Macaca mulatta: one gene and its partners. The protein of the gene in region 1 interacts with the protein of each later gene in a pairwise test. Links are inferred from orthologs where the notes say so. Each region holds a gene or a part of one and is shown in the gene's direction. Other genes may lie near its edges.

What was found.
Region 2: the proteins of ARRB2 (region 1) and AGTR1 interact in a two-hybrid assay, tested with the Homo sapiens proteins (2 studies listed by BioGRID and IntAct, with this or other methods). The link is inferred for Macaca mulatta from reciprocal best matches to the Homo sapiens genes ARRB2 and AGTR1.
Region 3: the proteins of ARRB2 (region 1) and MAPK9 interact in binary tests that used the Homo sapiens proteins (3 or more experiments, as listed by UniProt). The two-hybrid records come from large-scale screens. The link is inferred for Macaca mulatta from reciprocal best matches to the Homo sapiens genes ARRB2 and MAPK9.

The regions. Positions count from the first base shown.
Region 1 is NC_133421.1:6,241,829-6,249,302, forward strand, and holds part of ARRB2 (beta-arrestin-2), read left to right. Parts: exon of another isoform or gene 1-828; intron 829-1,506; exon of another isoform or gene 1,507-1,708; intron 1,709-2,619; coding exon 2,620-2,650; intron 2,651-2,777; exon of another isoform or gene 2,778-2,806; coding exon 2,807-2,941; intron 2,942-3,568; coding exon 3,569-3,629; intron 3,630-3,742; coding exon 3,743-3,787; intron 3,788-4,006; coding exon 4,007-4,263; intron 4,264-4,810; coding exon 4,811-4,870; intron 4,871-5,275; coding exon 5,276-5,343; intron 5,344-5,469; coding exon 5,470-5,605; intron 5,606-5,843; coding exon 5,844-5,928; intron 5,929-6,195; coding exon 6,196-6,268; intron 6,269-7,065; coding exon 7,066-7,203; intron 7,204-7,474. UniProt on the Homo sapiens protein: Functions in regulating agonist-mediated G-protein coupled receptor (GPCR) signaling by mediating both receptor desensitization and resensitization processes.
Region 2 is NC_133407.1:51,685,768-51,693,978, forward strand, and holds the start of AGTR1 (type-1 angiotensin II receptor), read left to right. Parts: upstream 1-3,984; 5' UTR 3,985-4,270; coding exon 4,271-4,388; exon of another isoform or gene 4,389-4,419; intron 4,420-8,211. UniProt on the Homo sapiens protein: Receptor for angiotensin II, a vasoconstricting peptide, which acts as a key regulator of blood pressure and sodium retention by the kidney.
Region 3 is NC_133411.1:189,304,087-189,312,028, reverse strand, and holds the start of MAPK9 (mitogen-activated protein kinase 9), read left to right. Parts: upstream 1-3,715; 5' UTR 3,716-3,919; intron 3,920-7,942. UniProt on the Homo sapiens protein: Serine/threonine-protein kinase involved in various processes such as cell proliferation, differentiation, migration, transformation and programmed cell death.

The DNA.
Region 1 (7,474 bases):
TCCTAATGGGAGGACACCCTGGGACAAAGAGGAAAACCAGAAGCAAAGGGGAGGGAGAGCCTGGATGATGCCACAGCACTCAGCCCCCAAGTTGGGACAAAAGATAGGATGTTTATTCTAGCTGCCACCGTATCGATGTTTATTCCCTTTTATTGGTTAGGAATACCTGGGGGCCTCCATACCCTTTACCTTATAATCTTTGGACAGCTTGGCTTTCTGGGAAGAAGGGACAAGTGAAGTTGTAGCAGAAACTGGGCCTATGGTAGAAACCATTTAGGGCCAAAGGCCAGAGTCATTGCTCTCCTATATGCTCCAGCTGTCAGAGCTGTAGACCAGATGGAAAGATGGTTAAGTCTTACCCAGATACTGCGGCAACCTGCCCATTGGGGTCCTCTGGGAATGGGGTGGTAGAGTTGGAGGAGGGATGGGCTAGTTGGCAGGATTTCACGTTCTGCTGTCTATCTGAGGATCCTTTCCAGGGATCACTGCTGAGGCAGAGTGGATTGGAAGGAGTAAGGTGATGCTTCAAAGAATAGGCTCACAATTGGCCATATCACTGGGATTGCCAAACACTTCCTTACCCTCCCAGCAGTGGGTGGAGTCCAGGCTTAAATTGTTTCAGCAACTGGAAAGCGAATACCCTTCAATTGAACAAACTATTGATGCCAGCTACAGAGACGGATAGTGTAATATTGATTGAGAGGATGGACTCGGAGCCAGACCGCCTTGGTTTCTATTAATTCCCACCATTTACTCTCTCTGTGACCTTAAAACACTTAACCTCTCTCTGCCTCAGTTTCCTCACCTGGAAAATAGAGACATTAGGACCTCCATCACTGGGTAGTTTTATTTTATTTTATTATTTATTTATTTATTTATTTATTTATTTGAAATGGAGTCTTGCTCTGTCACCCAGGCTGGAGTGCAGTGACGCAATCTTGGCTCACTGCAACCTAAGGCCGGGCGTGGTGGCTCACGCCTGTAATCCCAGCACTTTGGGAGGCTGAGGCGGGTGCATCACCTGAGGTCAGGAGTTGGAGATCAGCCTGGCCAACTTGGGGAAACCTTGTCTCTACTAAAAAACTACAAAATACAGGCCAGACGCAGTGGCTCAAGCCCGTAATCCCAGCCCTTTGGGAGGCTGAGGCGGGCGGATCACTTGAGGTCAGGAGTTCGAGATCAGCCTGGCCAACATAGGGAAACCCCATCTATACTAAAAATATAAAAATTAGCAGCCAGGCGCAGTGGCTCACACCTGTAATCCCAGCACTTTGGGAGGCCGAGACTGGCGGATCACGAGGTCAGGAGATCAAGACCGTCCTGGCTAACACGGTGAAACCCCGTCTCTACTAAAAATACAAAAAATTAGCCGGGCGTGGTGGTGGGCACCTGTAGTCCCAGCTACTCGGGAGGCTGAGGCAGGAGAATGGCATGAACCTGGGAGGCAGAGGTTGCAGTGAGCCAAAATTGCGCCACTGCACTCCAGCCTGGGCGACAGAGCAAGACTCCATCTCAAAAAAATAAAAAATTATCCAGACATGATGGCAGGCACCTCTAATCCCACCTACTCAGGAGGCTGAGGCATGAGAATCGCTTGAACCCAGGAGGTGGAGGTTGCAGTGAGCTGACAGCGTGCCACTGCACTCCAGCCTTGGTGATAGAGCGAGACTCCATCTCAAAAAATATATATATACAAAACATACCTGGACGTGGTGGCTCACGCCTGTAATCCCAGCTGCTTGGGAGACTGAAGCAGGAGAATCACTTAAATCTGGGAGGCGGAGGTTGCAGTGAGCTGAGATTGCGCCACTGCACTCCAGCCTGGGCAACAGAGCGAGACTCCGTCTCAAACAACAGAGTATTACAAGAGATGACACATTTGAAACACGTGGAACGGTGCTGGGCATGGAGAAGTCACTCTGAATGTTAGCAGCATTAGCATCTTCATGATCTGGGTGGCACTGTGCTGGAGATGCGTAAATGAATAAGGCCTCCGAGGCTCACAGTCTGAGGAGGGAGGCAGCTAACTGTCCGTGTGTGCTACCACACCACAAGTAAAACATCAACAAGGTGTGACAGGAACCCAAAACAAGGAGTGACCAGAGTCTGGGCTGGGTCAGCTTCCTAAAGGCTGGGCGTTCAAACAGGCTTTTAAGCTGTTGAGGTCGGAGTTGGGGACAGTTGGAGGTGAGTAGAGTAGAGTCAAACTTGGGTAGGGCCTATGGTAGAAACCATCTAGGGCCAAAGGCCAGGGTCATTGCTCTCCTCTATGCTCCAGCAGTCAGCGCTGTAGACCAGATGGAAAGATGGTTAGGTCTTACCCAGACACTGAGGCAACCTGCCCATTCTGGTCCTCTGGGAAGAGCCTGGGTGGTTCCTAGGGCAACCAGTGGCCATTACTAGGGAGGGACGGGGACGAAGGAGGGTGGACAAGAGAGGGGCATTTCCCCTTGCCGCCATGTTAGAAATAGGAAGGACCTTCCGGGAAGAAGGGGAAAGGGGCAGAGCTGGGCAAAGCCCTGCAGCCTCAGGCAGGAGGCCTGGGAGGGAGAGGGTCCTGGTGTGGGGTCCCTGCTGAGTCTGAGGGAGGCAGTGGGGTTTCCCTTTCTGTTTTGTTAGGGTCTTCAAGAAGTCGAGCCCTAACTGCAAGGTGAGTCTCCACAGCACTTACCCTTTCGACCCTCCCTGGGCCCCAACAAAGCCCGGCCTTCCCCTAGACGATCCCCAGCCTGCCCAAAGATGATCCCCAACCCCTAGCTCCCCACTTCCTGTGACAGCTAAGAGCCGACTTCCTTTCCTCCTGAAGCCCCTTGCCGCAGAGGCTGCTCAGCCTGAGCCAGCCACAGGCTGGGTGGGGCAGGCCTGGGTCCCCAAGCAGATCACAGAGGAGGCGGCCAGAAGCAAGCCATGTGCCTGTAGCCCTCCTAGGGCCCAACCCAAGGTGCGTGGGGCTGGGAAAAGTTAACAGCCCCCACCCAGGCTATGGCTTATTGATCCTAGAGCCCCTTGAGGGGACCTCGTGAGGGTGGCAGCTGCTCTCTAGCTGGCTAGTAGGACTGAGTTCTCCCTGAAGATCCAAAGACACACACACATAGACACACGGACACACACAGACACAAATACACACACACACACACCCCTCTGGCTGGTTGAGGATGCAAACACACACACACACACAGACACACACAAACACACCTCGCTGGTTGGGCTGAGTCCTCCCTGAGGATGCAAACACACACACACAGACACACATGCACATACATGTTCACATGCACACCTGACTGGGTGGGCTGAGGCCACACACACACACAAACACACACACACACACACACACCGGGCTGGTGGGCAGAGGTGTGCAGAGATTAGGGAGCAGCTAAAAAGCGTTAAGGTCCACTAGTCTGAGAAACGCCGCCACCCTCACTTTCCAACACTGTTGGGAGGAAAGCTGGAGAAACTCCTTCCTGATAGCCCAGCCTGGAGATCCCCGGGCAGGGCAGCCAGTTTTGAGGGCTCCGATGCCCTGTCACCATCCTCCCCAATCTCCCCTGTGACCCCTTGACATCCTCAGCTCACCGTGTACTTGGGCAAGCGGGACTTCGTAGATCACCTGGACAAGGTGGACCCTGTAGGTAAGTGTTCTCAGAAAGGAGCAGCTCGTTCCCCAAGAGGGGAAGAAGTTCCCGGGCCCAGGAAAGGGGGCGGCGGCTCTTTCCGGAAGTGAGCTGGTGTGTCCCCCTCCTAGATGGCGTGGTGCTTGTGGACCCTGACTACCTGAAGGACCGCAAAGGTACTGGCCCCAAGTCCGGGGGCTCAGGGGAAGTGGGGGCTAGGGAAGTGAAATGGGCTGGCCTTGGAAGGGCACCCCAGAGAGATGGAGGCTGGAGGTGGAAGCCAGGAGTAGGGTTCAGGCAAGTCTTATGCTGCTGAGGGAGGAGCAGCGGCTGCGAGGTGCTGGGGGACTGGGGAAGCGGGGCTCCTGACCACACATCTTACCCTCCCTTGCCAGTGTTTGTGACCCTCACCTGCGCCTTCCGCTATGGCCGTGAAGACCTGGATGTGCTGGGCTTGTCCTTCCGTAAAGACCTGTTCATCGCCACCTACCAGGCCTTCCCCCCGGTGCCCAACCCGCCCCGGCCTGCCACCCGCCTGCAGGACCGGCTGCTGAGGAAGCTTGGCCAGCATGCACACCCCTTCTTCTTCACCGTGAGGATGCCCCTGCCCTCTGAGGGCCAGGGGGCTGGGCTGGGACTGTCTGGGGTGGGGGTAAGGCACCGCTATGGACAGATCTGGAAGAAACAGTGAGGCAGGGACCCTAGATCCACCTCCCTTCAGGGTCCCCATGCATTCAGGAAGCCCTTGATTATCTGCCTTCTCTCTGGGTCCCTTCCTTCCTCCTTTCTCATCCCCAGGAGTCCTTTCTCCAGCCTCTTTTTCTTTTTTTTTTTTGAGACAAAGTCTCACTCTGTCGCCCAGGCTGGAGTGCAGTGGCAAAATCTTGCCTCATTGCAAGCTCTGCCTCCTGGGTTCAAGCGATTCTTATGCCTCAGCCTCCTGAGTAGCTGGAATTACAGGCGTGCGCCACCACACACGACTCATTTTGTATTTTTGGTAGAGATAGGGTTTCGCCATGTTGGTCAGGCTGGTCTAGAACCCCTGACCTCAGGTGATCCGCCCACCTCGGCCTTCCCAAGTGCTGGGATTACAGGCGTGAGCCACCGCGCCCAACCTCTCCAGCCTCGCAAGTTGAGATTTGGAGGAAGATCTGGGGGCTTTCTGGAAGGACTCAAGTCTTCTCTTTCCTCTGCCACAGATACCCCAGAATCTTCCATGCTCTGTCACACTGCAGCCAGGACCAGAGGACACAGGGAAGGTATGGGAGGAACAGCTCTGAGGGCTCCCAGGGCAGGACAGGGGCCAGCAGGAGCCTGGAGGCACAGCTGAGCCAGAGGGTGAACTGTCGAGATGCCAGGGTGGGGCCGAGGGTAGGCCAGTGTCTCCGTGGAAGTGGGGTGTGTATGGTGATGCACGCGTGACCCTGCCTTCTGCTCTCTGGACCTGCATGGATCTGGGGATGGGGGCTCCCCTTGCCCCTTGCACTACCATGACCAAGCCTCTGCCAGGTTCGGGGCTTTGGAGAGGAAGACTTGGTCGCCAGGGTCGTGAGACCACAATGGGGCAAGCATCCCTGCCCAAGAGGAGGGAAGGGGGAGGAAGGAAGGGGAGTGATGGTGGCGGGAGCCTTGGGTAAGATGTGGCCTTTTCTCCCCCTCCTGAGGCCTGCGGCGTAGACTTTGAGATTCGAGCCTTCTGTGCTAAATCACTAGAGGAGAAAAGCCACAAAAGGTGAGGGACGCGACCTCCTCTATGATGTAAGAGGAGGCTTTCCAGGAGCCCAGGCCCCGTGCGGGGGAGGAGTAGGGGTCTAGGTGTCTGAGGATTGACCCCCTTCTGCCCCCACCCCCATCCCAGGAACTCTGTGCGACTGGTGATCCGAAAGGTGCAGTTTGCCCCAGAGAAACCCGGCCCCCAGCCTTCAGCAGAAACCACACGCCACTTCCTCATGTCTGACCGGTCCCTGCACCTCGAGGCTTCCCTGGACAAGGAGGTGGGGTGTGAGAGGGTGACGCGGATGCCACGGTGCAGTTTAGACCCAGGGGAGGGGGGGCGAAGCCACACGTCAAGATGACATTTGTAAAGGAGGTTGCCTTGGCTGGATGTGGAGAGTTGCCGTATGCTTGGGTTTGATGGGAGGGGGCCAGAACAATGTGTTGTGTTTGGGGACACACTGATGATGGGACCAGTAAAAACCAGATCCAATTCATATGACCCCCTCCCCCCAAAAGCTGTACTACCATGGGGAGCCCCTCAATGTAAATGTCCACGTCACCAACAACTCCACCAAGACCGTCAAGAAGATCAAAGTCTCTGGTAGGAGGTGGGGTTTGGAAGGGGGTCTTTGGGGAGGGTGTTACTGCACAGGTGGCTCCTGGTGTGATCTCAGCCCAGGCCATTTCCCAGGGCGGGAGACCCACCAGGGCTCAAAGAATTTAGGTTGTTCCAGAATGATACAGGGAGCCTCGGTGTTTACTGCTTCCAGGGGGGAGCATGGAGGGGCCACGCCACGGGGTCTGGAGTTGTGTTGTGGGGGTGGCTTGTGCTCCATCCAGAGCTGCCTGACCCTGTCCCCCCCCACAGTGAGACAGTACGCCGACATCTGCCTCTTCAGCACCGCCCAGTACAAGTGTCCCGTGGCTCAACTCGAACAAGAGTGAGTATCGGGAGAGACCCAGTTCCCAGTCTGGGGGAGAAGAGCAGGATCGGGAGAGTGTGAGGTGGGGGAAGAATTCTTCCTAAGCCATCGCCACTATTTTTTTTTTTTTTTTTTTTTTTTTGAGATGGAATTATTGCTCTTGTTGCCCAGCCTGAAGTGTGATGGGGCAACCTCTGCTCACTGCAACCTCCACCTCCCAGGTTCAGGCGATTATCCTGCCTCAGCCTCCCAAGTAGCTGGGACTACAGGCATGCAACACCATACCTGGCTTATTTTTATTTATTTATTTATTTATTTTTGAGACGGAGTCTCGCTCTGTCGCCCAGGCTGGAGTGCAGTGGTGTGATCTCAGCTCACTGCAAGCTCCGCCTCCCGGGTTCAAGCCATTCTCCTGCCTCAGCCTCCCGAGTAGCTGGGACTATAGGCGCCCGCCACTGCGCCAGGCTAATTTTTTTGTATTTTTAGTAGAGACGGGTTTCACTGTGTTAGCCAGGCTAGTCTTGAACCCCTGACCTCAAGTGACCCACCCGCCATGGCCTCTCAAAGTGCTGGGATTACAGGCGTGAGCCACTGTGACCAACCACCATCTTCACTTAAAAGGGTATTCCCTCTACAACCAGGCACCTCTGGGTTGCTAATTTTCTTGAGCACGTTGAGCCACAACCTACTCCCTTGTGACCTGTGCCCAAAGAGAGAAGGGACTGGTGAAGGGGAGATGCTGCTTGGGGGTGATAGGCCGCCCCTCGCCCAGTCCAGCCCCTTGAAGCGTCTTGTTCTCTTGTTCCCACCCCCAGTGACCAGGTATCTCCCAGCTCCACGTTCTGTAAGGTGTACACCATCACCCCGCTGCTCAGTGACAACCGGGAGAAGCGGGGTCTCGCCCTGGATGGGAAACTCAAACACGAGGACACCAACCTGGCTTCCAGCACCATGTGAGGGTGGGGCTGGGGCGGGTCCCCCACAGGCCAGGGGCCAGACGTCAGTTGAGTGCTAACTATGTGCCAGGCCCTATCCTAGGTGCCAGGGAGGTACAGTGAACAGAAGAGACAAAAAGAACTCTTACATTCTAGGAGAGGGAGGCTAGACAAATCCGATCAGTGGTCACTGTACGGCAGGTTTAGTGACAAGTATGAAGGAGAAAAAGCCAGGCAGAGAAGGGAGGGATGGGGCGCAGTGAGATGCAAAGGTGAATTGGGAGTAAGG
Region 2 (8,211 bases), on another chromosome or scaffold:
TCTCTGAACCTATTGCAGTTGAGGGGCTACCCAATTTGCACATCATTCTTTGCTCAATTAAACACTGTTAAATTTAATTTGACTAGGTTTGTCTTTTAACAAAGATGTACAGTTCAATTATTTTTTGCATGTTTTCAAAGTTGTGTAATGATCACCATAATCAAATGTACAATTTTTTATCACCTTCCAATTAGCAGACACTACCATTCCTTCCTACCCCTCCACTCTCAGCCTAGGCAACCAAAATTCTCTACAGTTATGTCACTTCTGAATATTTCATATAAATGGAATCATATAATATGTGTTCTTTTGTGACTGGCTTCTTTCACTTAGTACAAGGTTTTCAAGGTACTTCCATGTGTAACATATACTTTATTCCCTTTTATTGCCAAACAATATCTCATGGTATGGAGATATCACCTTTTATCTATTCATCAGTTGATAGATCTTTGACTTATTTCTGCTTTGGGGCTATTATGAATAATGCTGATATGAATTTTCATGTGTACATTTTTGTGTGGACTTATGTTTTCATTTCTCATGAGTATATACCTAGGAATGGAATTGCTGAGCCATCTGGTAACTCTATGCTTAACATTTTGAAGAATTCCCACTGTTTTCCAAAGTGGCTGTACTATTTTATATTCCCACCAACAATGCATGAGGGATCCAATTTCTCCACATTCTGGACAACACTTGTTACTATTTGACTTTTTGATTATAGCTGTCCTAGTAGGCATAAAATCATATCTAGTTGTTCCTTTGAGTTGCATTTTCCTGCTGGCTAATAATGTTGAGGTTTTTATGTGCTTGTCTACCTTCTTTAGAGAAATGTATATTTAGATCCTTTGCCCATTTTTAACGGTTTTTTAAGTTATCTTTATATGTGTTTTATTATCTTTATATGTTCTGAACACAAGTCCTTATCAGATATATAATTTGCAAATATCTTCACACATTCTTGGCTTTTTCTTTTCACTTTCTTGATACCCTTGGAAGTACAGATGCTGTTAATATTGATGAAATCCAATTTACCTACTTTTTTTTTGTATTTCTTATGCTTTTGGAGTTGTATCTAAGATGGCTTTGCATAACCCAAGGTCACAAAGGTTTACTCCTATGTTTTCTATTTAGAGTTTTATAATTTTTCTCTTAAGCTTGGGTCTATGATCCATTTTGACTTAATTTTTATGTGTGGTATTACAAGGAGTCCAACTTCATTCTTCGGCATATAGATAGCCAATTATTCCAGTACCATTTGTTAAAAAGATTACCCATCTACATTTTTTCAACCCTTTTCAAAAAAATTAGTGGCTCATACATGTAAGGGTTTAGTTTGTGGACACAATTCTGTTCCATTGATCTTTCTATCTATTCCTATGCCAGTTCCACACTGTCTTGTTTATTGTAATTTTATAGTAAATTTTGAAATTGGTAAGTTTGTTCTTTTTCAGAATTGTCTTGACTATTCTGGGTCCCTCGCACTGCCACATGTTTTTAGGATAACTCCGTTCATGTCTGCAATAAAAGCTTGCTGGGTTTTGATAGAGATTTTGTTTAACCTGTAGATCATTTGAAGATTAATGCCATTGTAACAATATTAAATCTTCCAATCCAAGAACATGGAATGTCATTCCATTTATTTAGGTCTAATTTGTTTCAACAATTTTGTTGTTGTTGTTTGCTTTCAGAGTACAGGTTTTATACCCTTTTGTTAAATTTATTTCTTAGGGTTTTTTGTTTTTTGTTTTTTTTTAAATGGAGTCTCACTCTGTCACCCAGGTTGGAGTGCAGTGGCACAATCTCAGCTCACTGCAACCTCCGCCTCCCGCGTTCAAGCGATTCTTCTGCCTCAGCCTCCTCCTCCTGAGTAGCTGGGACTACAGGCAAGCGCCTCCACGCCCGGCTTTTTTTTTTTTTTTTTTTTTTTTTTTTTTTTTTTGTATTTTTTGTAGAGACGGGGTTTCACCATGTTGGCCAGGCTGGTCTCGAATTCCTGACCTCGTGATTCGCCCGCCTCAGCCTCCCAAAGTGCTGAGATTACAGGAGTGAGCCACTGCGCCCGGCCATTTCTTAGTATTTTTACTCTTTTGATCTATAGTAAGTAAAATTGTTTTTATCTTTGAATTTTTAAATTTTTAACACAGTTCAAATCAGTGTGTCTGATTTCATCTTCTTCTCTAACAAACCAGGGTACCAGAACTGCTTCAGTTTCTCTGCCTTCTCTTTGTCTGTGATGACTAATGTATGAAGGTATCTGCTGCATCAAACTTTAAACTTCACATTATCCTTATTTTTCTTGACTTTGACAGATCTGGCATCCTTTCACCTGGCTATAAGCAGAAAGTCCTTGATTTCCTTAACTTTTTGAGGCATGGCAGCATGTCGGGCGGGAGAGGACACAGACCCACACAGCAAGTGGTGAGAAGCAAACAGTGGAATTGTTTTCTTAATTCCATTTGTTGATTGTTTATTGCTAGTGTATAGAAATACAACTGATTTTTGTATATTGATCTTGTATTCTAAAAACTTGCTCAACTTGTTTCTTAGTTCTAATAATTAATTGATTTCTTAGGGCTTTTTAAAACAAAGTCACGTCATCTACAAATAGAAATTATTTTACTTTCTTTCTAATCTGGATGCCATTTATCTTTTTTTCTTGTCCAGTTGCCCTCACTAGAACCTTTAGTACAAAGTTAAATAGAAATGGGAACACTAGACATATTGTCTTGTTCCTGATCTTAGACATAAAAACGTTGTTTTTCAATATTATGTGTGATATTAGTTAAGTTTTTCATAAATAAACTTTATAGTTTGAGGAAGTTTCTATTCCTAGTTTGTTGAGTGATAGCATGAAAAAGTGTTGAATTTTACCCAATAGTTTTTAAAAAAAAATTTAGACAACCATGTAGGCTTTGTCCTTTATTCTTGTTTTTTACTTCTTTAATTTCATTTTTATTGATACACAATAGATGTACATTTTTTAGGTACATGCAATAATTTAATGCATTCATAAAATTTGTAAAGATCAAATCAGTGCAATTGGGATATCCATCACCTTAAATATTTGTCTTTTCTTTATGCTAGAAACATTCAAATTATTTTCTGACATATACAATAGATTACTGTAAACTATAGTCACCCTACTCACCTATCAAACATTAATTGATTTTTGGTAAACTAATCTAATCTTACTTTCTGGCAGCAACCTCACTTGACCATGGTGTATAGTCCCTTTCATATGTTATTGGATTCAATTAGCCAGCATTTTGTTGAGAATTTTTATCCATACTCATAAGAAATATTGATGTCTATACTCATAAGAAATACTGTAGTCTTCTCGTGATGTCTTTATCTCGTTTCGTTATCAGGGTGATACTGGCCTCATAGCATGAGTTGGGAAATCATCCTTACTCTTCTATTTTTTGGAAGAGTTTGTGAAGAATTGATATTACATCTTCTTTAAATATTTATTGGGTTTTTTCAATACATTTTTTTAAACGCAACTTGGGTAGCATGTCCAATAGGAAGAAATGAGTGTCCACCCTTTAATTTCATAACCCTGGAATTAATCCATGTAATCTATGATCCACAACAGTATTACCAAAGTTCGAGTTACTCATAGGAAAGAGAAAGAAGTTCTCTAATTCGTCCTTAAAAGTTTTCCAAGTTCAGGGAAAAAAAAAATGTTGAAGAACATGAATCTCCGCAGGAAATGATACTCCTGTACCCGCAGCTCGCTGCCCCTCATGACCCCTCGCTAGGCGGGGTTCGAGGCCAGGTGGACACTAATCTGATAGTTGACAGGGGACGACTGTGGCATCATCCTTGCTGCCGTCAGTATCCTGGGAGGGAGGAGGTTGGGCCGGGAGGGTCTCCCGGGGCGGGGCGAAGGAGGAGGGAATGCAAAACAGAGCCTCGTCCCCGGAACCCAAGAAGCAGCAACGCCCCTCACTATAAATTCGGAGCTGCCTCCTCGCCGATGATTCCAGCGCCTGACAGCCAGGATCCCAGGCAGCAGCGAGTGACAGGACGTCTGGACCGGCGCGCCGCTAGCAGCTCCGCCGGGCCGCGGCGGTGATCGATGGGGAGCTGCTGGAGCGGACCCAGCGAGTGAGGGCGCACAGCTGGGACGCCGAGGCGGCGGGCGGGAGACCGCACCAGCGCAGCCGGCCCTCGGCGGGACGTGACGCAGCGCCCGGGGCGCGGGTGAGTCCGCGCGGACCGCCAGGCACGCTTGGGGGACTTCAGGGGTGGGGTGCTAAGTTTCATGTCACGGTGTCCTAACTGCTGGCTCTATACTGGGAAGCTCTCTGGGACCAAGGAAAGAGCGACCGTAGTTCTGGTCAACGCCTGCCCCTGGAGCTGGCCACACTTCACCAGATCAGGTGAGGGGCTTCTGGAACGGGAGGGAACAAGGTAGGTTTGTTTGCCACGTGCCCCGAAATTCTCAATCCATTTTGACCAAACTCTTCCGAGTGTAAGCAAGAAATTTACAGAAATAAGATGCAACTCAATAAACTTTCTTCCTGAGGCTTTTAGTTAACTCTTGTCTTTTAGCCATCATCTGAGTCGGAAGCCCATAGGACTCTGCAAGGCGTTAGTTTAAAAGTTGTGCTACTTTTGAGGTGAAGTTAAGAGTGTCCCCATCCACGCTCTCTGCTTCCCAGACGATGTCCCTGCGCTGCTCACCTCCCCTTAGCTCTCTCCCTGCAAACTATAGCGGTGGGTCCTAGACAGGGGACGTCCTTCAACCTGGGCCAAACTCTCCCACCCTCAGGATTCCTAGATGCTCTTTGAATGATCAAACTGAGGAAGGAGAAGCAAGATGTCTCCACACTCCAATTCCTACAGCCTTAGCCAATGCATTTGTGTAACTGAGACAGGATTTTAGCAAAAGGTCTTCTGTTTCACAGGACTAAACAGAGCCTCTGGCGGGCCACTTCCCGGCACCCAACTCCATCCTCCGATTTTGTTAAATGTCCAGGTAAACATCTCCACAGTGCCAGCCTGTTATAGTCTCCTGAAGACCTCAGAAATTCTTCGCCAAAGTGTCTCCTTCTGCACTGTTTTTTGGGGCAACCATTTGTGACCTGGCTATTGAGCTCACCTGGGCCCCCTTCTCTTCGTTTACTAATAGCCTCGTTAAGTATTAAAAACTTACTTTCCCCCACTCAGGAACCCTCTCCTAACGAAAGTTTGGGTACTCACTTTCCCCTGGGATCAAATTTGGGACTTGGCGACATTTATTTCCTGTGTCATTCTGAGAAGATAAAGTAAGAGTAAGAGGCAAGCAATTTGGCACCCTATTGATCTATTTTATTACTTGGTTGAGCAACTTGTGCTTCCCCTTGAAGCTGCTGCATCCCAACATGATTCTCTTGTTAGTTACCACCTGAGGTTCTTGGATCTCCAGGTGTTTATTTCACATAGCATATGCTTTAACCCTCTTATAAGTCTTCTCTAAGAAAGGAACTGCCATACTTCCCTTGTCTTCTCTGATGTCTCCCCAGCTGTAAAGGCCCCACCTGCATAACCTATCCTCAGGCTGTGATGTATTCCCGGGTGCCCTGGTACCTTCTCCTTCCTCTTCACCACCCTTCCTGACAGTGTAGGAGCAGGAAAGCATGGGGAGAAGGGAAATGGAGACTCCCACTTAACTTGCTGTGTGATAGTAGGAGCATTATTTCACAACTCTGAACCTCAAGTCTCTGCCCATAAGGTCCCCTACAGTGATATAATTCCTTCCTTCCTTTTGTTTTTTGGTTATTGCTTTAAAATAAAAGTCTAAGCTTAAGGCTAGGTTATAGAAACTGCCCATCATAATTGCTAGGTCTCAACATTTGCTTAAGTTCTGTGATTCTTAGTTTCACCTCTGTTATCCACTCTCTATCCCCGCCACCTTTTTTTTCCCTGACTTCATTGTTCTTTGTTCCCATCTTGAGACCTTGATTTCTGGTTCTGCTCTTCTTTGACCTTAAACTGAATCAACTGTTCCATCATCCAACTCAGAAGAAAATTGTTTTCCTTCCACCGGTTCCACTGATGCCAATGGAAGACTTGTCTTCCTTGCGATTTGCAAAATGTCTTTCGGTCACTGGTGCTGCGGCAACGCTGCTGTCCCACAGCATTCTAAGCTTAAATCTTTCTCTCTCTTACCCTGGGTCGGTATTCAAAAAAGGGCAGATTTGTGGGTTGCTCAGGTTTCTCACTTTTCTTTTCTTTCTTTCTAGTTTGGGGTCAGAGTTGTGTATTTGTGTATATAATTTTGTTTTGGTTTTTTGTTCCTGCTGCTACTTATGACTGCTGTTATTTCGATTACGACTAATTAATACTAATGATTCATTTTCCCCTATGCTAGAGGGAAAATTAAGGAAGAAAAGTTTAATCTGCTACTTACCCAAAGCCCAGGTGAAATACTTAGCTGAGAAGGAATTTAAAACTCATAGTTTAAATGCATGATGCATGTCTGCTGTCATTTTATCTGTGCTGCCACAGTGTCCTTTCAAGCAGATAACTGAGAGTTGCTGTATTTTGCCTTTGAATTTGTTACAGGGACAAAAATAGTGACCCCTCACATTTATGTGTTTTGGCTGCTTAATGCAAGCTCTTGCCCTCTAGCCCCATGCTTATTAGTTTACCTAGCTCTTTTTTTGCTCGGTCGTAACTGGAGAATGCCAAAGAGTCTCCCAAGTAGGCTACCAAATTAAGAATGGTGTTTAAAAGTTTGCAGTAAGCCCAAGTGTTGTAAAGATTAAAATGCTGTTTTGAAGATGTGCTGTGGCAATAAACAAATATGGAGCCAGAGCAACAAAATGTGACCAAGTGTCCAAGCCTAGCTTAGGAACACTTTTCTCCCATGTTATCTAGCAAACTGACAAATCAGCTTTCCAACTCGTAATGATTGGAAAATGCTATTATTTTTCTTCAGAATAGTCTTAATGTTTCTTTTTCAAAATTGCCTAAGGTCATTGGATTATGTGGTTTGTGTTTCTTTTCACGTAGGTGCTTGTTAAAGCAGTATACTCAGTCTCTGATAAGCAACAGTAAATTTGATCGATTTGTATCCTAAATTTATCTATCGCTTTACATTTTGTTTTATTCATAATATGAACTTTAGCTTCTAAAAATCAACTTTTTAATAGTTTAATATATAAAGCCATCTTAAATCAAGGAATATCTATATGACTTAAGGTAGTATTCCACTGAATTGAAAGTGACTACCGTAATCCTATTAAAACTCTAAAATACAATGTTTTAATCACAGAAAAAAAAAGTCTTATAATTTAAAGAACTATAAATTGCCGGATGTTTCCCTAGTTATTACATTAGTGACAAATTAGACAACTGGAAATAGAAAACAGAGTATATGTTTAGAACAGTCATAAAAGGACTAGTGACTATTGCTGCTAGCTGTGGTTGTATTAACATTAAAATATTTACTATCTGATTTTTCTTCTTTCTTATCATAGCAGATGCTTTGAAAAAATTTCTTGCATATGAAAATCAAAATTGTCTTCCAAAACATTTAAGTAACAGAAAAATTCATTATGTAGTGTAAATGCTGTATGATTACATTCCTTTACATTATTCTTATAGTTAATTTAGAAGGGTTTGAATTGTTTCTGTTTTGTTTATATTTGTTTCCTCAATAGGTGCATTCTCTAACTGTCTTAAGTAGAAACAAACGTCTACAATCTATCAGTGATTATCAGTCTCCTTCCTATTACCAAGAATATTTTTATTGTGTTGTTAGTCTCGCGTTTAATTATTTTTTTAACATTTAAAAGTTTGGAAAATGGGTAAAAAAATGAGTGTGCCTTGTTTCCTATTATTACAATGTGCCTTCCTATATCAAGTCCCAATTCTAGATGTTCTTCAAACTTGAAATCATAGAATTAATAATCCTTCAGTTTAAGTCAACTTTTATGTGATTTCTCGTCCACTTAGACACACATAGATGCCTTCATCTTCACCAAATAATGTAGAAATTTTATTTAGATCAATGGATTTAAGTACTCTGTATGCTTAACTATGAAATAAGAATATTGAGAAATACACATATGATTGTGTACTTTTGTTGTTGTTGTTGTTTGGTTTTTTGAGACAGAGTCTTGTTCTGTTGCCTAGGCTGGAGTGCAGTGGCATGATGTCAGCTCACTGCAACCTCTGCCTCCCAGATTCAAGTGATTTGCCTGCCCCAGCCTCCCT
Region 3 (7,942 bases), on another chromosome or scaffold:
CTCCTCTGGGTGTGATGTTACAGGCACCTCCCAACAAACATCCCCATTGGTTTAAGTGCAGTTTAGCTTTCTACAGCACACAGCTGGGGCAGCCCTGACCTACACCCTTCAGCACATCTCTGGGTCCTTGTAGGGGTTGGGGAGAAGGGAAGATGTGGGTTAGTGGAGTCGGGGGAGGGCAGGCACGGTGTTGAGGGGACAGAGGCCAGTCAGCATAAGGACGTACACCATCCCTGCTGCATGGGCTGCACCTCGCTCTTCCTGATTCCCTCCTTCTCCACACCACTTCCTACAGAACCAAGGCAGGCAGAAGTGAATCCCTTGCCCAGAGGAGCACAGCTGACAAATGAGTCGGATTGGAATCCAGGCCAATCAAGGGTGGGGGATATCAGGACCACAGAAACCTGTAGGCACTGTGGCTGCACATACAGCTGGTCTCCGGACAAGTCCCCGATGCCCCAGGCACCCCTAGCTCCTCCACCCTGCCGTGCTCTTGTCTTAGTCTGCTTCTGTTGCTTACAACAGAATACCTGAAACTGGGTAATTGACTTTTAAAAATAATGTATTTGTTATAGCCCTGGGGGCTGAGAGGTCCAAGGTTGAGTGGCTGCATCTGATGACGACCTTCTTGCTGGTGGGGACTCTGCAGAGTCCTGAGGATGGTCCAGGTGTCACATGGCCAGGGGGCTGAGCATGCTCACATGCCAGCTCCGCTCTTCCTTCCTCTTCTAAAGGAGCCACCAGTCCCACTCGGTGATAACCCTTTAATCCATGAATCCATCAGATTAATCCCAACCACCCTCAGAGGCCCCACCTCCCAGTGCTGCCACACTGGAGATTAAGTATGAACATGAGTTTCATAGAGGATAAATATTCAAAATAGCACCTCCTAATTTTTAAATGTTTCTTAACTAATCAACTAAAAAAAGCAAACCTCTCTGGGCTAAACAAGGCCTATCAGTGAGCTAAAGGCAGCCCGCAGGCCTGGCAGTGCCAATCTACCTCAAGGTCCTCAGAACTCTCCAGTCCCCTCACCTTTCCCTAAGACCAGGTGACTTGTGGCTCCCTGAACACAGGAAGCAGGTCCTCACGTCTGAACATTTGGGCCTGAGTGCCCTTTCTGCCTAAGTCGCAGGCCCAACATATCCTGCCGGGCAGCCTTAGCAACAGCTTCCTCCGGCCCAGGAGGCCTCCCTCAATTGCTTCTCCCCACCACAGACCAGATCAGGTAAGACATGCTCACGTGTCCTACCTGGTTCACATATGTTGTGGCAGGATCTTTTCACTTGGAGGGTTCAACCAGCATTCTTGGTGCTGTTCCAAGGCCCCCATCCCCACCCTGTCACCTCAGCTTTGTGTCCATAAATGTTCACTGTATTTCATAAACCAGAAAAAAAGCAGTGTCTCTGGAATAAAAAGAACCCTTACAGAAAACTTAGTGTGAGATATGTATAGGTGTGTACACATGTACACTGATTTTTGGTTACTCACTTGACATGATGTGAGTGCTATGAAGTTAGGCCTGCAGTGCTTGAAATTGGTGTCCCCGTTTTTTTTTTTTTAGTTTGTTTGTTTTGTTTTTGAGACAGAGTTTTTGCTCTGTTGCCCAGGCTGGAGTGCCGTGGAGCAATCTCGGCTCACTGCAACCTCTGCCTCCTGGGTTCAAGTTATTCTCCCGCCTCGGCCTCCTGAATAGCTGGAATTACAGGCACCCACCATCACGCCCAGCTAATTTTTGTATTTCTAGTAGAGATGATGTTTCACCATGTTGGCCAGGCTGGTCTCGAACTCTTGACTTCAGGTAGTCTACCCCCCTCGGCGTCCCAAAGTGCTGGGATTACAAGTGTGAGCCACCGCGTAGCCTTCCTAATGAGGAGAAGCACCCATCAGTGCTCCTTGGTGGAACCTCAGCTCTGACAGCTAGGCTTTTACTCTTTTCCCATGATCCTTGATCCTGGCAATTTCTGGTTTCCTGTTTTCTCTCATGCACCTGAGGCAGGTGGCAGGTGAGTCTGAGGTAAGGACAGGTGTGGGCCCTCCTCAATGCAGGCCACACTGCGAGGTAGAATTTCAAGCCGCGATGAGCCATGCTGAGATTTAGCAAACTCCCTCTGGTGGCCAAGGAGGACACCATGCTGCATCCGTTCCTCTACCCCACCCCTCCTCTGAGGCTCTGGTGCCTCCAAGCGGCCTGGCCCAGCCCTCAGTGCCCTTGGAACCTGGGTCACAGGCTAGCTGCCCTCCCCAAAGTCTGCAACCACCCTTCACACCACCCAGCCCCTTGCCCTCCCCATCTGCAGAGTCCTGTTCCTTCTCCCAACTCTGGCCCTGGCCACTCCGTGGATACTGGTATTGTGTTTCTGCTGTTCTACCCCCCACTCACCATTTGTCAACCACTGTTCCCACTCTTCCAGTCCCCAAAGCCCGGCTCTCCGCGGTTTTCCCCATGTGCATAGCCTCGTGCCGCGCTTCCTGCTTCACTTTTCAACGTAGATCTGGCAACATCCCAAGTCCCGGCCTCTCCCATCCTGTACGACCCCCAGGCCGCTGGTACCTGATCCAGCCTCAAAAGCAACTCAAGAGTCAACGGGTCCCAGTCCCTAGGGGGCCCTGAGCAAGGGACTCCTCGCCCCGCCCCCCACCCCTCTCAGAGACTTGACTGAGCACCTCCCTTTTTTTTTTTTTCTGAGACAGAGTCTCACTCTGTCGCCCAGGTTGGAGTGCAATGGTGCAATCTCGGCTCACTGCAACCTCCGCCTCTCGGGTTTAAGTGATTCTCCTACCTCAGCCTCCCGAGTAGCTAGGATTACAGGCGCCCGCAACCACGCCCAGCTAATTGTTTCGTATTTTTAATAGGGACAGATTTCACCTGGTTAGCCAGGCTGGTCTCGAACTCCTGACCTCAGGTGATCCACCCGCCTCGACCTCCCAAAGTGCTGGGATTACAGGCGTGAGCCACCGCGCCCTGCCGCACCTCCCAATTTTTAAATGTTGTCAACTAAGTCACCCCGCCACCAAGCGCACTCCCCTCCTGCGTCACCGACCCATCGGGTAACCTGTCTACACACGGCCATCTCTTCGCACCCCCTCCCCTTCTCCAACCCGACTTCTGGCCTCACCCACACCCCCACAGACCCGTTCCTGCGGCGCCGCAGCGAGCAACCGAGTACAAGGCCAGCCCCGCCTCCCGGGCCCTAGCACGCCGGGCTCCCGGACGCCAGGCCGGCCTCTCCCCGCGATCGCCCCGGGCTCTCCCCGAAACGGGCGGCCTCCCGTGCTGCTCCAGGCCGCCTCGCCGCCACGAGCCTGCACCTGTAGGCGAGGCCCGGCTCCCCGCGGACCCCGCGGTGTGAGCCCCGCGCGCCTCCAGCCCGGTTCCCGGTCCTCCGGGCCACCCTCTCCCCCGAGCTGCGGCCCCCTCGCGCGGACAGCGGGCTCAGCTGGTGGGACGCGCAGTGCCTGCGTCTCCAGCTCACCGCGTGCGCGGCGCGCAACCGAGCGCCATGGCCGGTCGGCCGACGCCACTGAAAGGCCCGGGGGCGTCGAACCCACGGAACCCCGGCCCAGGACCTCGGGCGCCCGACCCGGCCCCCGGCCCCGCCCACACCACCTCCAGCGGCCCGCCCCCCAGGCGCCATTGGCCGCGCCTGCTCCGCTCTCCGCGCGCTGATTGGTCGGCCCGAGGGTCGGTCAGACCGGGCGCCGCGGCGGCGGCAGCGGCAGAGAAGGGAGCGGGACCGGAAGGGTCGCAGCGCCCCGGCGCCCCTCACACCCACTGCGGCGGCGGCGGCGGCGGGGCGGAGCGCGGCGGGGCGGGCCGGTGGCGGAGCCGGGGCCGCGGAGCCAGGAGTGACTAGCACGCAGCGCCGCCAGTCCGCCCGCCCGCCCTCTCCCCGTGGCGCGGCGGCGGGGAGGCGAGGTGAGCCCGGCGGGCGGGCTAGGCCTGGCGGCGGCTGCTCGGGCCGGGCCCGCGGGGAGGGGCGGCGGGGGAACCGCGCGGCCGGGGTTTCGGGGTGGGCCGGGGGCTGCGGGGCCCTGGCAGCCGCAGCCGTCGCCCCTGTGCTCGGGGATGCCGCAGGCGCCCCCTTCCGCCCGGCTGTCAGCGGCTCCGGGCTGCGGGCCTGCTCCCCGGCCTGGCCCGGCCGACCTGCCCGTGGGGTCTGCGGGCGCCATCCCTCGCGGAGGTGGGGCGAACAGCTGCACTCCTGCGCCGGGGGCCCAGGGGCCCGGGGTCGCGTCCCCGCGACCTTGACCAAGGCACTGACCCTCGCTCTGCCGCGGTTTTGCCTTCAGGAAGGTGGGGAAATGCCTCTTCTGGACAGGGTTGTTGTCAGGCTGTGTGAGTGTATGCAGACGCCTGGGCAGGACGCCGGTGAACATTTGTGGAAGATTGGGCAGGGTGCTGGCCCTTGCCGGTGTGAGTGGTGTAGGAACCCCCTCCTCATCCGCCCAGCCTCCCGCCTCCCCACGCACGCCTCCCTTGCCTTGTCATTGCACACTCAGTGTCCAGCAGTGCCAGAGGGGACCCAGCCCACATCCCTTACCACCACACCCCTCTCCCAGAAGACTGCTGCCCCAGTCCACTCATCTCGCCCGCCTTGAACATGCCAGCCCGCATTTGCCCCAGGACCTTTGTATTTGCTGTTTCCTCGTCTTTGGAGTTGTCTGTGATCTTGGCACAAGTAGCTCTTTCTGCTCCTTCCTCTGGCCAGATGTCTCGGTTTGGGTGAGGCCCTCCTCGACCACCCTCTTTCTTCCCTTAGTCATGCTATTTCATTATTTTAAAAATTTCCTTCCTAGCTCTTACCTGGTTTGAAACGTTTCTATTTATTTGCCTGTTTATTTTCTGTCTCCCCGACTAGGATGTAACTTTGTGAAAACAGGTAGCTGTCTGATTTGTCCACTGCTTTATCCCCAGTACTTAGAAAGCACACAGTAAGTATTCAGTAGTATCAGCTCAATGAATGAATGAATGATCAAAGAAATGGCCCAGTCTCCCTGTTGTCTCTGCTTTATCTGTTAATTTAGTGACTTCTGATTAACGTGTGAAACTTGTAAGCAGATGGAAGCTTGTTCTATTTTGTGAAACATTTTGGTGTCCTTGACCCCTTTAATTGCTAACCGTTGGAACAAGCTGTGATGTAAAATCTCACATTTTTATAATGGTTTAGCTCTAGCTTTCTTCCACACATGCAGGAGACATTTACTGAATTCTGCATTATCTAGGTCATGCTTTCTGCTAGGCCCTAGGGACACAAGGCAGATAGCAACAGGGTCCCTTTCCGAAGAGAGCCCAGGAGCCCAGTAGAGAAGGCAGGCATGCAGACACTTAGTTCCAGGACTGTGCAACCCTTGCTGTCGTGGAGGGGCTATGCCATGGAAATGTGGAGGAGGTGACAGGTGATGCTGGGGGGCCTTGAGGGTGATGAGAAATTTGCTAGGCAGGGAGAGGCAGAGGTATGAAGGAGCAGGGCCAGGTAAGGACCATAGCCCACTGTGGAGTTGAGAATCAGTCTGGAGGGCCAGGTGTAAGGGCACAGAGTCGTGGGGACTCTGAAGAACTGGAACCTTACCCAGCAGTTTTCTAGAAGAAGGTGGAATTTGACTAGTGCCATGGCTCACGCCTGTAATCTCAGACACTTTGGGAGGCTGATGTGGGAGGATCACTTCAGGCCAGGAGTTCAAGACCAGCCTGGGCAACAGTGAGATCCCTGTCTCTACAAAAAATTTTTGAAAATTAGCTAGGTGTGGTGGCATCCACCTGTAGTCCTAGCTACTTGGGAGTCTGAGGTGGAAGGATCCCATGAGCCCAGGATTTTGAGCCTGCAGTGAGCTATGATCGCACCACTGTGCTCCAGCCTGGGTGACAGAGCAAGACCCTGTCTCTAAAACAGAAGGCAGCACTCCACATTTGTTCCGATTTTTAAATGTTGGCAATAGCTAATTAATTTTTTTTTTTTTTTAAATGCTGTGAGCCAAGCCAAATACAGATTCATTCAGCTTGGTTGCAGATTGTCATCCTCCAGGAGTGGCTGTGTGGGAGGGAGGAGCTGTGAGGAGAGCAGGAAAGGTAGCCTAAGGCCAGGAGAGTCAGGCCCTGTTTGCCCAGGTGCCAGCCCAGATACTCATTTGATTGTAACTGGAGCCCTGTGGAAACGGAAGCTCAGGAGTTTGAGTAGTCTGCTTCTTAGCAAGCAGCTGGTGAGTGGAATCCGAACCCAGATCTCTCCCTAGATAAGGATTCTTTCCTGAGTCCCTCAGCTCTGAGTATTCTCTTTTGGCTTTTAACTTCTTCTGGAAGAATGACCACCAATCTATTTAATGTTTTCCTTGATTTAACTTTTAAATTTTTCTTCAAAAGGATCCTGCAGAGTTAAAAACAATACTATTTTTGCATAGACTTCTCTGGACAGCTTTGATTTTCCTGGTAATTTAATTTTCAGGGTGCCAGAACATTAATTTGTTCACAGACTAAAATCTGTTTATTTGGTTCCCTGAATAAACATTAGAGGGGATTCTTGAATGTGTCTAAGATAAAATATTTTTAATTTTCTGGATAAAGAAAAGGACCAGACAAACCAGTTAATAGTGACTAGACCAGTTTTCGTGAGACATAAAACAGAGACCAGATTTTTTTTCTTCTTAAGACTATTGATTTGCCAATAGGGCAACTATTTTTGGTCTACATACATACAGTAGTTATACCTGACACTTGGTTAGGAAGGTGCCATTTTTCCATAATTTTCCTTCAGAATAATTAATTCCTGATATTTTGTACTTGATTGTATGATCCGGTTTCAACATCATTTTTTAAATTTTAACTTTTATTATGGGAATTTTCAAACATATACAAACTAAACAGAATAGCGTTCTGCTTTAACAGTTATTAACTCCTGACCAATCTTGTTTCATCTCTAATGTTATCCTCTTACACACTTACCACCCATAATTATTTTCAAGGAATTCCTAAATATCATGTCATTTCATTCATTATTTTTCAGGATGCTAATTACACAGTGGGTGCCCAGGAAATGTTTGTTAAAGACAAAGCTAAACGGGAGAATACATGTGGTAGGGTAGCTCGGAGCAGTGGTTCAGATCAGGACTTTGAGTCAGACTCCCAGTGGGTCTGCTGCTTATCTGGGTGATGTGCAGAAGCGATCGGGCTCATCTGTAAAACAGACGGGCACAACCTCAGGGTGCTCGCTAGGTATGCAGTAGTTATACAGACGGGCACAACCTCAGGGTGCTCGGTAGGTATGCAGTAGTTATACAGACGGGCACAACCTCAGAGTGCTCGGTAGGTATGCAGTAGTTATACAGACGGGCACAACCTCAGGGTGCTCGGTAGGTATGCAGTAGTTATACAGATGGGCACAACCTCAGGGTGCTCGGTAGGTATGCAGTAGTTATACAGACAGGCACAACCTCAGGGTGCTCGGTAGGTATGCAGTAGTTATACAGCACACTGCGGTGGGTCTCTAAAGGTCCTGACTCTTTTAAAGGTGAAAAAGTAATAATTCCTTCATATCATCAAATAACTAGTCAATCTTCAAATTTCCAGCTGCCCCATGAATTTTAAGTTTCCTTAATAGTTTGAAGGTAGAGCACGATAAGGTCCATACATTGTTGATTGGTTGATACGTCTTTTAAGTTTCTCTTCATCCATAGATCCCCCTCCTATTTCTTTGTTTTCTTGGTAGTTTATTTGTTGAAGCAATCAAGTTGTTCTGTAGCATTTCCACAGTTGGTATTTGATTGATTGCATCTCTGCAGTGTAATTTAATGTGTTTCTCTGTAATCTCTGTCAGTTAGTGATTGGATCTAGACAAGGCTTGGTCAGATTTAGGGTACATTCCTCCATCAAGATGCCGTCCTAAGTGGGCTCTGCACTTCTTATCTAGAGGTAACCTGAGGCTCTCTGCCCGTCTGTTTTACAGAT